2 linked regions of the Alligator mississippiensis genome follow. The main gene of each other region encodes a partner of the protein of the gene in region 2 in a complex. Links are inferred from orthologs where the notes say so. Each region holds a gene or a part of one and is shown on either strand. Other genes may lie near its edges.

What was found.
Region 1: the proteins of GCC2 (region 2) and RAB6A are in contact, whole or in part, in a crystal structure (PDB 3BBP), measured with the Homo sapiens proteins. The link is inferred for Alligator mississippiensis from reciprocal best matches to the Homo sapiens genes GCC2 and RAB6A. Residues at the interface, in NP_852118.2 of Homo sapiens: Thr1585, Ile1588, Leu1589, Glu1591, Gln1592, Leu1595, Leu1596, Glu1599, Arg1602; in NP_942599.1 of Homo sapiens: Lys15, Ile46, Gly47, Ile48, Trp67, Arg74, Phe75, Ser77, Leu78, Ser81, Tyr82, Asp85.

Annotation. Positions count from the first base shown.
Region 1 is NC_081824.1:467,028,750-467,035,779, forward strand, and holds the start of RAB6A (ras-related protein Rab-6A), read left to right. Parts: upstream 1-4,020; 5' UTR 4,021-4,170; coding exon 4,171-4,240; intron 4,241-7,030. UniProt on the Homo sapiens protein: The small GTPases Rab are key regulators of intracellular membrane trafficking, from the formation of transport vesicles to their fusion with membranes.
Region 2 is NC_081824.1:349,384,873-349,391,889, forward strand, and holds the start of GCC2 (GRIP and coiled-coil domain-containing protein 2), read left to right. Parts: upstream 1-4,002; 5' UTR 4,003-4,194; coding exon 4,195-4,200; intron 4,201-7,017. UniProt on the Homo sapiens protein: Golgin which probably tethers transport vesicles to the trans-Golgi network (TGN) and regulates vesicular transport between the endosomes and the Golgi.

The DNA of each region.
Region 1 (7,030 bases), about 120 Mb from region 2:
CAATAAAAACATTCCTAGCTCTTACCTAATGCTTTGCATCAGTTGGTCTGAAAGGTGGTTATGAAGGAGGACAGTAGTATCATCTCCATTTCACACCTAAGGAAAGTGAGGCCAGGAGAAGTGAAGTGACATGCCCAAGATCACCCAGGTGGCTAGTGGCAGAGCAGAGAAAAAGAGCCCAGGTATCCCGAGTCCCAGACCAGCACTTTTGTCCACTAGCCCAGTCTGTAAATCCCACCAATGCCAGCAGGAGCTTTGCCAGTGTTTCTGAGGGCAAGGCTGCTGTGATTTCCATCCTTGGGAGAACATTTTCTTCCACGCTTATGCAGCTCATAAGACTGCTGGGGTCCAATCAATAATAAGTGAATGAGTAATGAAGGCAGTATATTTTCATAGATGTTAGGTGTTAGGGTCGGAAGGGACCTCAATAGATCATTGAGTCCGACCCCCTTTTCTCATTCTTGATACAACCCACCCTGGCAGCTCACAGCAGCAAAGGAAAAACAGTGACTTGTTTGACAGACTGGGGCTGACCAAGCTATACAAGCATTATTGTATGCAGGAGACAGTAAAAAATATGAGGCCTGATTTCCAGGGCTCCTGCCCCTGGCTTGCCCCCTCCATCAGTACAGACAGCTGTGTCTCATGGTCCCTGGAGGATTCCCCTCTACAGCAGCATGCTTGGATCTGCATCCTAGGGCAGAGGCATGGCTAAAGGAATGAGGTGGCTAAGTTACTGTTATCCTGCAGACTCTTGACAGCCAGTATAAATGATGGTAACCTCAAGCATTGCTCTATTTATGCGGGGGATGTGCACAATGCCTGGACTTCCCTCTGGATTGAGGGAATTTGAAGATCATTGCAGACTTACAGCTGATGTGCACCAAAGGCAGCTTGTCCTCAGCTCAGGATCCCGGGCTCTTTTGGCAACCAGTCTGGAAAATTCTGATTCTCTCAAGACTTGCGGCAACGGAAGTGCATGACTTTCAATGTCTGCTTAAAATACATAGCAGGGAAGCCAAAATGGGCCAGGGTTTTTTTTTTTTAAATCTCAGGACAGGAGCTGAAGCTTGGGAAGCTGCTGGTGGCAGAGGAAGAAAGTGTTACATCAGACAGAGGTACAAATGCCGCAGCTGCATGAAAGCGTAGTAGCAGCCACAGCAGCAGTGATAGATTGATGTATAAAATTTTGGAGCTAGTCCAAAGTAATTATAATCCCCAACTCCAGAGCTACCTCGATGGCTACTTGGGAGAGGACAACAGAAAATGAATAGCTCTCAGCAGGGAAAAAAAATACATTCCCTACACAGTCTGCTTGCAAAAGCTGTTTAAAGGCTAAGCTGTGATAGGCTCTGCCTTTTCCTTTGCAAGCAATCTAGGTCTGTCATGCTAGGAGCCTGCCAAGCCGTGACAATACGAGAGATTTGAATCATTCATGACTAAGGTTTTTAAATGGCTCATTGAAACACGTTGCAAGGGTTTTCATCATGGGGAGGGCAAAGTTGAAGTTACACGTGTGAGCCTGGGGACCCGAGTCAAAGCACAAACCTGCAGCAGCTGCTTTTTGTACCCAAGAGGAAAAGGCTGGAGGAGATGGTGTGTCTTGATAACATTAAGGTTCGGGGGTCTATTTAGCACAGCCCTCTCTACAGGGGAAAAGATGTGGTCTAAACAAGAACTCTGGCTTAATCCACCTCTAGTTTGCTCTCTGACCTGGGGCAAGTCATATAGGACCCAGCTTCTGCTTGTGCCAATTCCCTCGCCTGGTGCTGGTGCAAAGGGGCCAAGTAGCAGCTCTACCTTGTCATTAGGGAAGTTGGCTGGTGGAAGGAAAATCTCCCCGTAGTGTGAAACAAGCTGGGTGTCAACTTCCCTCCTCCCTTTGGGCATCAGGCAGCATATGGGGGGGGCATTCATAAGAGATTGCAGCTGGGGAGAGCTGCAGGACCCAGGCTATTCCTGGCAGCCAGGTGCCAGGGAGGACAGTGCTGCAGTGTGCTTTACCTTGACAGTCCCTCACTGATCCCAAAATAATGGATCAGCAGAGGTGGTTTAAAGCAGCCTTGGCCTCTGTCCCCCGCCCCAACCCTGGGGCCTGTGCACAGTGAATAAGGTGCAATGAGGAACAGGGTCAGGGCTTCCCTTTTGGGGACCAGGGGCAAAGCTTGCTATCAGGCCCTGGTCTTTGTTAGACAACCATACCCGCCACGGTCCTGGATTTGACAGCTACTAGTCATTGTCAAGGCTACAAGGGCAAGTCGGGGTGCTTTGCACTGCTCTAATGCCAGCCCCGATGATGAACCCAGCTCTTAGCTTAGACTTTACCCGTGTCTCCAACACACTTTTGACTCGCGGCCCCTCCACTTCCTGTCTTTAACATGCATGGGAAAACGCAGAGGCGTATGCAGCAGCATGGGAAAAATGCAAAGGAGCAGTGAGGTTGGGTTTGCTCCCATCCATCGAGCATTTTCTAGGATCACAGAAGAGCGGAGGGTTGTCAGGGCCATCCAGAGGCCATCCAGTCCAGCCCCCTGTCCAAGGCAGCTCAGCTCTGTCACGACCATCCTAGCCAAGGGTTGGAATGAGTAGATTGCGGTGGGGGGCAACCTTTTTGGCAGGCATGCCACCAAGCAGCCTCACACCATAGACAGGGAGAGAAAATATTATTGGGGGCGGGGGTTGAGTGCAGGCATCAGCATGAGCACGACAACCCCCATCGTGCGCTGTGCAGTGCGGCGCACGCGCGGTTAGCCTCTTCTTCCTCAGCCGCGCGGAGCTGAGCGCGCCTGGGGCGCTGGCCTGGCTGCACGCCGAGCGGTGCCGCAAAATGAGTTTGCAGGGGCTAAGACCCCCCAAGCCCCGGCTTTCTGCTGCCTATGCACCACGCTGCTCGCCAGTGCCACTCCGATCTCCTTGCCCTGCCTGCTCTGCTGCTCTGCTTTCTGCTCCCCCCGCCCGGTGCTCCCCTTCTGGATCTGCCATCCTGCTTTCTGCTCCCTCCGCCCGGTGCTCCCCTTCTGCTCTGCTCTCTGCTCCCCGGCTGGTGCTTCGCTTCTGGATCTGCCTCTCTGCTTTCTGCTTCACTGTCTGGTGTCCCCCTTCTGATACGCTGCTCTGCTTTCTGCTCCCCTGATCTGCCGCTCTGCTTTCTGCTCCCCCTACCCAGTGCTCCCCTTCTGGATCTGCCACTCTGCTTTCTGCTCCCCTCGCCTGGTGCTCCCCTTCTGGATCTGCTGCTCTGCTTCCACTCCCTCTGCCCAGTGCTCCCCTTCTGCTCTGCTCTCTGCTCCCCCTGTCTGGTGCTTCCCTTCTGGATCTGCGTCTCTGCTTTCTGCTTCACCGTCTGGTACCCCCCTTCTGATATGCCGCTCTGCTTTCTGCTCCCCCCGTTTGGTGTTCCCCTTCTGATCTGCCACTCTGCTTTCTGCTCGCCCTGCCCAGTGCTCCCCTTCTGGATCTTCTGCTCTGCTTTCTGCTCCCACCGCCCCGTGCTCCCCTTCTGCTCTGCTTTCTGCTCCCCCGTCCGGTGCTCCCCTTCTGCTCTGCCGCTCTGCTTTGGCTTTATTTAATGATTGCTTAAATTTTGTTATTTGAACTTCTTATGTTGCTGGCGTGTCGTGCGCGATACGGAGCGGCCCGTGCCTTTTGCAAACAGCCGATGGCCTTGATTTTTTTGGGTTTTTTTTCTCCTTTCTTTATCGTTGTGAAAAGTTTTCTTTCACACAAGACCGTCATTCTTTTGTTACCAGCTTAAATCAACTCAGCTTGGCGCTGACCGGAGCAAGCAGAGGAATCACATAATTGCACAGCCGGCTCCCAGCCTCGCACACCCCCGGGAGCCCTCCGCCCCGGCCCGCTGACGTCACCGCTGCCACACTCGGCATGGCCCCCGCCGCGCGCCGCTCCCCCCGCTCCCCCCATCCTCGCGCTCCTATTGGCTGAGGGGCGTGCGCGCTGACGTGTACAGGGGAGGAGCCGAGCGCGACCCCGCCCCCTAGCTGCGCGCGCACAGCCCAGCAGGTTGCGTTGCGCCACCGCCACCGTCGCTACAGCCGCCGCCACCGCCGCCGGGCGCTCGGGAGCGGTTGCACGGCGCGCTTCCAGTCGTCAGCCCCGGCCTCGGCCCCGCGCCCGCACCCGCACCGCCTCAGCACCGGCCCCGGCGCCGCCATGTCGGCGGGCGGCGACTTCGGGAACCCGCTGCGGAAATTCAAGCTGGTTTTCCTGGGCGAGCAGAGCGGTGAGCGCCGCACCCCTCCTCCCCCCCCCTCCCTTATTGCACCCCCTCAGCCGTGGGGACTGGGCTGTGCCCGGCGGGGGGGGGCGGGTTTGCCCACATGGGGCTGCGTCCCCTCCCTGCAATGAGGGGGGGCAGGGAGATCCCCCCCCAACACACACACACACACCTCGAGTGAGCGAGCATCTCCTCCACCTTTTGGCAGGGAAGAGATGGGGAGGCCTGGCTTGGCCCCCCCCCCCCCCCCCGCCCTTTGCACGTCAGCAGTGGTGAGTGCTTTTTCACCCCGATTTAATGAGGGGGACGTCGGGGCACGGGGTGCTGCTGCGCCCGCATTGCTAAACACCCCCCGTGCTTCCCACAAGGACGTCGGTGTCGGTGTCACTTCCATCGCCCTCCGCGGTACGAGGGGAGTCAAGCCACGTACGTGGGCCCTTCCCTTTGGCCTGCCTCTTCTCTTTATTTCCCCTTTGTCGCAATAGCCCCCGAGTGACACCCCCCCCCCCACCACGTGAGTCCCGGGCGCCAGCAGCGAGGTGTTGCTCGGCCAGCCGTTTTACGAGGATCTTGAGAGCGGTTCGCGTGCGGAAGACGCTGTCGGTACCAGGTCAGGATCGATCCGATGCCGGCCGCGCTCCTCGCAGGCTCTGCGGCCTCTTTGATCGTAGGGCCGAGATTTACTCTGCGTGCGGCGTGCGTCTCAAAGGGCGGTTTGATCCGTGGCACAGTAACGGATTTGTTCTCTGGGTGCTGCTTGCTGGATCGCGGCAGCTGCTGTCCTCGCCCGTGGGTTTGCGTGCCCGATGGTCTGAATCCTCCTCTCCTGGTAGTGATTCTGGACACATGAGTATGATGATTCCCCTTGAACATACGTGTGTTTGTCTGGGAAGGATGGAGTGATGCAGCAAAGTACTTCCAGTCTCGCAAACACTAGCTCATGTCTACGCACCCAAGCTACTTTTAAGCTCACCAGCTTCTCCGAGCTCGCCGGCTTGCATAATGCTAGCAGAGTAGCAACAACCACCTGCAATCCAGTATGATCTGCCAGATCCACCCAAAAAGCGGGGTAAATGCACAGGCAAGTGGTCCAGGTAGGCAGCGCTGTGCCACCTGGTAGCCGTACCCAAGCTGGCTCCTCTAAAGCTGCTGGGGGCACGCATTCATGAGCCGGTGTCCTTGTAGTATAGGCAATCCTGATGCATTTCTGAGACCTCATTAAACAGAGTTCTTGTGCGTGGCTTGGAAATGCCTGTTTATTCCAGGCTGCTTCTGCTCTCCAAGCGAGATTTGGACAAAGCCATGTCGGCATAAAGATCAGTTGCGTCTAGCCTTAGTAACTAGATAGATATGCTAATGGTGGTCTTCTGTACAAGGAAGAAAAAGCCTGAACATCTCTTGATCAGTGCTGGGAATGTTAACGCTGGAATTTTCCGCCCCTGTTTAGCTTGCTCTCCTTGTCTGTCCTCACTGTGTTGGCGTTGGAGGGTGCAAAGCCTTGCATAACAGCGGCTTTTACAAATCAAGGCGTCCTTTTCTGAAAAAGCTGTTGCCACTGGGATGTTCTGTTCGCTTCCTGTTTCACTGAATGGTTGTCTGCCTGGTTGGAAGGCCGTCATTAAAGGTATCTAGCTGCCACTCGTAGGAAAGCAGAACGCTGCCCTGGCATTGTTTCCTTTCAATCCCTTCAGAAAAGCAAATCAAACGTTACGGGGGTGCTGCTGTTGATTAGCTAGACCAGAATGTCAGGGCTAAGATCATGCCTCTTGTGTTGGCTTCCTACAATCTTTTCAAGAAATGTATGTGCTACTGCTGCCTGGTTCTTAATTGGACCTCGTTAAAGGCTTTCGAGCTGGCACAGGAGAAGCAGCCAAGTGTTCAAAGAGAATGTCTTGCCTTGTGAAATAGGGAATGTTTCTGCCGAATCTATTTTTGTATTTTATTTGGAAAAGTGATCGGCCAACGATGGAAATAGCATCCTTTTTTCTCCTTGGCTGTATCGTGGCAATTCAGTGCAGCTTTCTACCTAAATAAACACGTTTGCTTGCACTGCAGTGATTTTTTTTTTCTTTCTTCTCCAGATTATGCTATGCATTATTGTCAGCAATAATGTGTGTTTTTTTTTCTGAACAAAGAAGGTTTGGGGGCTTCTGATTTAATCTCTGAAATAAAGCCCCCTCTGTCTCCCTGCTTCTTGCATCTCCTCAGTTACTAAAATTTATCTGGCTTTCATTTTTGTTGCATCAACACCTTGAGCCCTGCATGTTGGAGAATGAAAGCTGACACACTGCTGCAGTCGTCCATCCCTTGGAGCCCTCCCCTGCCCATGCCAGTCAGTCGGTGTGTTAGCTGCATGACATAAGGTCACTTGCAGCTTCTTTTGGGATTTACTGCAAATCGCTGGTTCTCAGTGAGAGTATGCTTTTTCTGGTTCAAAACTGGATCGATGAAACCTCAGGTGCTTGCTGTAGATTGATTGCAAACCTGCATTTTATTCCATGGATAGCTAAAAGCACCTCTGTGTGTATCTCATCTCTCTGACTTGCGATGTAAGCTGTGCATTGTAGGGCGACTAGCAAGAAATTAAAAAAAATATTAACAGGGGCTTGCCTTAATTGAATTAACTTCTTCGGTGATTGCAGATTACATAGAGTTTAGTCATTTTAAATATGTTAATCTTTCCTGAAAAGACAGCTTTGTGCTGAGGGATTAAATGCAGCTACAGTAAAATATATATATAATATTCTGATTCCCTTTAGTGTCTTTGATCTTACTTCATGTCAGGTGACTTCCAGC
Region 2 (7,017 bases):
CATAATACTTTTGTTTTCTAGTTGATTATGGAAAAAAAAGCCTCCAAAAAGCCATTATGGAATCTGGGGATCTCTCTCTCTCTCTTCATAGCATATCCAAATAGGACGCTAGTGACCACGGTCTTCCAGAGATCTCTTCTCTTTGAGGCATACAAAATTTCCAGCGTTGATACATTTAGATAGACTCTTGACATAAGTCAACCTCTGTCTTCCATGATCTCTCCTTTCTTCTGTCTCTCCAGTTACAACCAGACTTTCAATTTCGTCTTTCCTCATAACATGTCCAAGAAATTCCAACTGTCTCTTTCTGATGTTAATCAGCAGCTTCCTCTTGAAGCTTGCTCTTGACAAAATATCTTCCTTCGAGGTATGACTTGTCCAACACACCTTCAAGATGTGCCTTAAGAACCACATCCCAGTTGACTTCAATTCTCTTTTCCACACTTGGCAATATTGTCCAGCATTCTGATGTATACATGAGGACTGGTATAACCAGTGAGTCCAGAGGAGAGCCACATGCATGATCAGAAGTCAGGAAAACAGACCTTATGATGAGAGGCTGAGAGCTATGGGATTGTTCAGCCTGGAAAGGCGCAGGCTCAGGGGTGATCTGGTGGATGCCTATAAGTTTATCAAGGGTGCTCACCAGGATCTGGGGGAACGTTTGTTCATCAGAGCACCCCAAGGGATGACAAGGTTGAATGGTCATAAACTCCTCCATGACCATTTCAGGCTGGACATAAGGAAGAACTTCTTTACTGTCCGAGCCCCGAAGGTCTGGAATAGACTGCCGCTGGAGGTGGTTCAAGCACCTACTTTGAATGCCTTCAAGAGACATTTGGATGTTTATCTTGTGGGGATCCTATGACCCTTGCTGATTTCCTGCCCCTGGGGCAGGAGCCTGGACTTGAAGATCTTCCAAGGTCCCTTCCAGCCTAATGTCTATGAAACCTATGAAACTTAGCAATCCAAAATGCTTAGCTTCGTCCCTATAGAAATTTTACTATTTGCCAATATCTTTTTCATTTTCAGAAATGCATCTTTTGCCATCCCTATTCTGTTTTATTTCATGATTTACCAGTTACCGTATCAGTTATATCATTCACCTATAAAGCACTTTAGAATGTTTTAGCCACAATGGAAGACATAGTAAATTGACCAAATTTTAATTTGACAATAATTCTGCATGAATAATTCTCTGAGCTGGGACAGAGGAAACCAAGAGTTCAGACCTCATTTAAGTGGTTAAATCCCCCTGCAATTCACTCCCTATGTAATGGCCACCTTCTGAAAACTAACCTATAAGACAAACTGCAAAAAAATGCTAAATGTTTTATTCTTCCTACCCCTATTTCTCAGATAAGTTGGGAGACAGGTTGCAAAAAGATCACTGCAGATCTAAAACCAGGCTTTTACATAAAATTCACGATTTTGTTTCCAATGTTCCACATTGTCTTAAAGTAACTGAGTTTGGGTTATCATCTAACCACTATTCATGCATCCATGAGCCAAAGCTTCAGAGAGACTTTATAAGTCCTGTTCACAGATATTCTATTGCTGACTAGAAAAAAATTGGGTAAGCCACTAGAAAAGTGTGTGTCCAATTCATCTTCATATAGATGAACTTGAAATACACTATTTTTGTAGTTCGAGCAGTAATATTATTGTAAAATAGAAATCCAAAGGTTCAAACTCAGATACTAGTCTTTGTAGGACCATAGTATGTTTTTGCCTGATTCACAACAAAAGAATGCCTCTTGAAAGCAGACTTTCTTATTTTAAAAGACTATATTTTGTAAGTTATGGTTTAACATCAGCATAAGTTAGTGAGCAATTATTACTGTATTTACTCAAATCCCAATGAGGTTTATTCCCCATTCAACATGGGATAAAAAAAACCCCATCATCTTAAATTGGAGCATGGTCCAAAAACAGGCAGCTACTACATCTCTGACTCTGGCCCCGACTTGCAGGACAACACATGGTGCAGGGGAGGGTGCAAGGAGACTGTGGGGGAGGGCAACACAGAGAGACTGTACAAATGGGGTGGAGCATGGTGCAGTGGATAGGGGAGCATGGCAGAGAGATTGCATGCTGCAGCCCAGGGCAGTGCAGGGGAGACTTCAAAGGAGCAGGGGAGCTGCCGCAGCTCCAACTCTGGCTCAGACCCCAACCTAGGGCTTAAGCTGCTGCTGGTGTTGCTGCTGCTGCCACTGCTGCCTAGATGGGGCTGGAGTCACCCTGGGCCAAAGCTATAGCTGCCACATAGGGAAAGCAACAATGGGAGGGACAAGTGCCCAGGGGCAGGCACTTATATTCAATATTGGGGCAAGGGGGCAGGGGAGGCAGGACAGGCAGGGAAACTTCCCTGCCTCTGCTTTTCCCATTGCAGTAGTGTGAGTGACAAATTTAAGATGACGAGAACTAGATTCTATATGTGGAATAATTTAATACATTTATATTTTTTCATGTATATACAGTAATTAATTATTGGGGGGTCATCTTAAATTCAAAGTCATTTTGGATTTGGTCAAGTATGGTGTTTAATTTTTTGCTTGGGGAACCTTCTAGCATTCTCAAATGAAACCTTAGCAATGACCTCAGAAGTGTTCAAATGTACTGGAGCTGTGACTTGTGGGTGCCTATCTATTGCTATAGTTGATATACAGGCAGTCCTCGACTTACGTTGCGAGTTACAACATTTCACACTTACAACATTTATAAATTGACACCCTGTTTCAACTTTACGCCAGTTTTGACTTACAACGCTTGGTCCGATGCAATGCCACGCCAACGAACAAGTTCACTGCATTGCTCATCTCCCTGGAGAACATCTGTCCAAACTTCCTTGGACACTTTCTTTAAGAAAGCAGACAAGACTCCAGAAAAACCTGCAGCCAAGACTCCTGAGAAGACTCCAGCCAAGAGCCCTTCAAAAAGTCAAACCAAGAGTCCTTCAAAACGTCCAGCAAAGTCACCTCAAATAAGTCCTTCTAAATCAATATGATTGCTATTTACAATATAAACATATTAACGTAGCTATATTACTCATCTGTAATTGATTTGAGTACAAAATTCTGGGGTATTTTTGGTGAAAATAGGGTATCGGGCCTTGGTTCTGGAACCAATCCCCCATTTATAAAATTATTTCTTATGAGCAAATCAGTTCCAAATTACGTTTTGACTTAAGATGAGGTTTTCAGGAACCAATTGCCTGTATAACTTACTGTTAAGGTTTTTGAGGGAGGCTGCATGTTAAATGAAGCTAAACTATATGTTGCTTGCAGGCAGAGCCACAGGCATGGGCTAACTGGGTGGTTACCCGGGGCCCAGACAGAAAGGGAGTGAAAATAATAATTATTATCATTATCTCCAGCAAGGGGGGGGGGGGGAGGTTCAATACTAAAAGTCTGCCCGGGGTCGCCAGAAGTCTAAGTATGATGCTGCTTGCAGGGATCAGTTGGCATCAGAAAAGAAAACTTTGTTGAGTGCTGGAGTACATTAATGGTGGTTTTTGCAGCATGGAAGGGGCAAGAAACACAGGTTTCCTTTTAACTTATTTCCCGGTTTTTGTGCTTCTCTTCCAGGAAGCATGTCCTACTGCCACCTTAACTGTTCCCAAAGGCAGTTCATGTTTGACAACAGCTATACATTTACTCCTGGTTCCTAATTACAAATGGAATTCAGCCCTTTTCACAGAACTTGTTTGGAAAAGTCCGCCTCGTCCCCTTTTTCCTTCTGGCCTCCTAAAGCCTGAGATGACTGATTGACTCAGACCCTCCCTGGACCCTTTTCACTAGTCCAAGGCAGGTAGGGAGCTGGCATTCGTTGGTGGGGGGTGGTGGTCTTGAACGGACATTGGCAAACGCTGGCGGGCGCCACACCTGGGGGGGCGCACACAGCCCGGGACTCGCCCCGCCCCTAGCTCTAACGTATGCAACGGCTTCCGGGCGGTGCTGGTTCGGCTTCGCGCGTGCGCAGAGCGGACGGGCCGAGTGGCATCTCACCCCCGGCCCGGCCTGACAACGTAAGGGAACGGTTGCTGCGACCTTGGGTGTAGCGCAGAATGTGACGCCAGAGGCGCGGGACGATGACGAAGGCGGAAGTAGGGCAAGGAATGCAGAGGGGTGCGGAGGAGCCGTTAGGCTGAGTTTTTTTCCCCCTTTCCCTTCCGCCACCGGCTGCGGCTCCGACATGGAGGTAAAGGGAGGCTGGGTCGCGGTGGCAACAGCAGCAAGTGAGCCCCTCTGTCGGGGGCCCTGGGGTGGGGGTCGGCGCTTGACGTGGGGTGAGCCCTCCCCCCACACGCACACGTCTCCCATAGGGCTCGACCACTTGGCAGCGGAGGGGGGGGGGAGGTTTCAACTGGGGATGGAAGGAGGAGGACGGTACCACTTGAGGGGAATTGGAATGTTCCACCCGGGGATCGGGTCGGGAGGAAGGTACCACGGGGGAGGAAGGTTCCACCCGGGGATGGAGGGAGAAGGAAGGCGCCACCTGGGCTGTAGTCAGCTGGGCACAGACCATTGGGGTAGGGGAGGAGAGGCCTTCTTCACCACAGCTTTGCTCCCTGGGCTCTGGTCAGCCCAGGCAGCCTCTACCCCAGTGCTTTGTACCAGGCTAACTGCAGGTGGGGTGGCGTCTCCCCCACTCCCCATTACAGTGTTGGGTGTGATCAGAAGACTGTGTTAGAGCTGTCACATCCTGGGTCAGCCCACGGGTCCGCCTTGCCCACTATAGCCCTGCATCACTTGGGGCCCCATCACCCCATTACACGTGTTGTGCTTGACTGGCAAATTGCACCGCCAATTTAGCCCAGCCACGTGTGCAAAGTGTTGCCTCTAGCTCACCTCAGAAAGTCTGGCCCACTGTAATGTGAGAGGGGAAACGTGCCGTAACTTCCTAGCCAGTGACCAGCTTTCATTTCCACGTGTAGCAGGGGACATGGCCAGGGGTGGATCCAGAGTATGTTGGATTCCTGCTTCAGTCGCTCAGCAGATGCGTGGAAGGAGCCTGGCCTGCCTGAGTGGCCTTACCCAACCTGGCAATCCACCTGGCCAGGAAGAAGGCTCTGGCTGGAGGACCTGTCTCTGGTCTGTTCACTGCCCTGTTCCTATCCCTGGGTAGTGTCCGCTGGCTCCTTGAACTCATGTGAGGGCCAATGGGCACAGGCTGGCATGTTCTGCTTGGTGTCCCCCAACTGCATTTGTTTTAATCCTGTGACAATCACTCCTAACTCTGGTCCTTTAGTTGTCCTGAGCGATCAGTGATGTCCCCTAAGTAGCCCCCTTTGTCAAGGGTGGCTTATAGCTCTACTTGGTGGACTTTGGCCTGCATTCCCGAATGGCATCTCAAGGCCTGACCTGCCTGCAGTCTGTGTGGCTGGGCTGGGCATTCTCTTTGTACAAGAAGGCTGGAGAAGTAAAACTGTAAAGAGAAGACTTTGAGGAAAAAGGGCAGGTGGGGAGAGTAAAAGGGGGTGGGGTCAGGTTAAGTGCAGGGTGAGGCATTGCTGCTTGCTGCTGTAGGGAAGGAAAGTCCCATCCCCTCCCTGCTGCTCCCACCAGGTGGCCCAGCCAGAACAGTAAACTGCCAGCACCAAAGCCAGCAAGGAACAGGAAGTAGCTGGGCTCCTGGGCACATATCACAGAACTGACGTGGGGGAATAATAGAGACTTGGTGGGATAGCCCTCATGACTGGAGCTCTGTCATGGATGGGTACAAACAGTTCAGGAACAGCAGGCAGGGGAGAAGAGGAGGAAGAGTTGCACTCAATGTGAAAGAGGGACACGATTGCTCAGAGCTCTGGTATGAAACTGGAGATAGGCTGTTGAAAGTGGGGGTGCCCAGATAAAGATTTTTTTGGCTGATACCAGTGACCAATTATTAACCAGCTATATTGGCTGATACTGATCCGATTGCCAATATGCGTCCTGGTAGCTTGGAGAGCATCATCCAGCTGGTAAGTCTTTTGGGTGGAGGGGAAACAGGGCCCCCACAGTAAGGGAGTGGGGTTGGGACAGGCGCTGAACAGCTGGGGTGGGGTGCAGGACAGAGCTACAGCACATCTGGTGGAGGGGGGAGTGCAGCTTCTGTCACTGCATGCACCTCTGGGGGAGGCATGGAGGGCATGTGTCCCCTAGATCTGTGTGTGGGGTGAGGGCAGGCTGCTGCTGTGCGCTCCAGGCCGGAGACTATGCCTCCTTCTTCCCACTGGGGGTGGCCTGGGCCAGGGCTGTGCTCAGGTGGGGTGGGGCAGGTGGCAGCAGTGGCACTGGGTGGGAGATCATGGGGGGGCTAGAGCCACCCCAAAATTCACCATAGCCCCCCTCCCAGTGCTGCTGCTGCCTACCCAACCCCACCTGGCCTGAGCACAGCCACTGGGAAAAGCCCAGCATAGCCTCCAGCTCTATCCTACAGCAGCAACCCACCCTCGCCCCACACACAGGTCTGGGGGCACATGCCTCCCCTGGGGGTACGTGCAATGGAGGGAGCCACGCACCTCCCTGTGCCTCCTCTGGACAAGCCACTGACTTTTTCTCACACCCTGACCTACTGTGGCTGGGCAGCACCTGCCCCAGCCCCACTCCCTCCCTTGCTGTGGGGGCCTTGATCTGCCCCCTCCACACCCTTTCCCCCCCAACGCCCTTCCCCCCGCCCCATCTTATCAGCAGGATGCTGCTCTCCAAGCTGCTGCTGCGTGTGTGCTGCAGCTGCACGCATGCACGTAGCATTTATTGGCGACATTTATTTGGCCCTATCAGCCAAAAATAGCCGATTGCCAATAATGTCAGTTTTCCTTTTATCAGGGCAGATATGATATGAACTGATGTATTGGTGCTCCACTAGCTGAAAGTCTCTGGGTTGGGGTCAGAGAGGAGAGGAACAAGGGTGATATCATGGTGAGTGTGTGCTATAGACCAGCAGATCAGGAGGAAGAGGTGAATGAGGTCTTCTTCAAACAGATAGCAGACTCATCACAGGCCCTGGTTCTCATGGGGGACTTCAATCAACCTG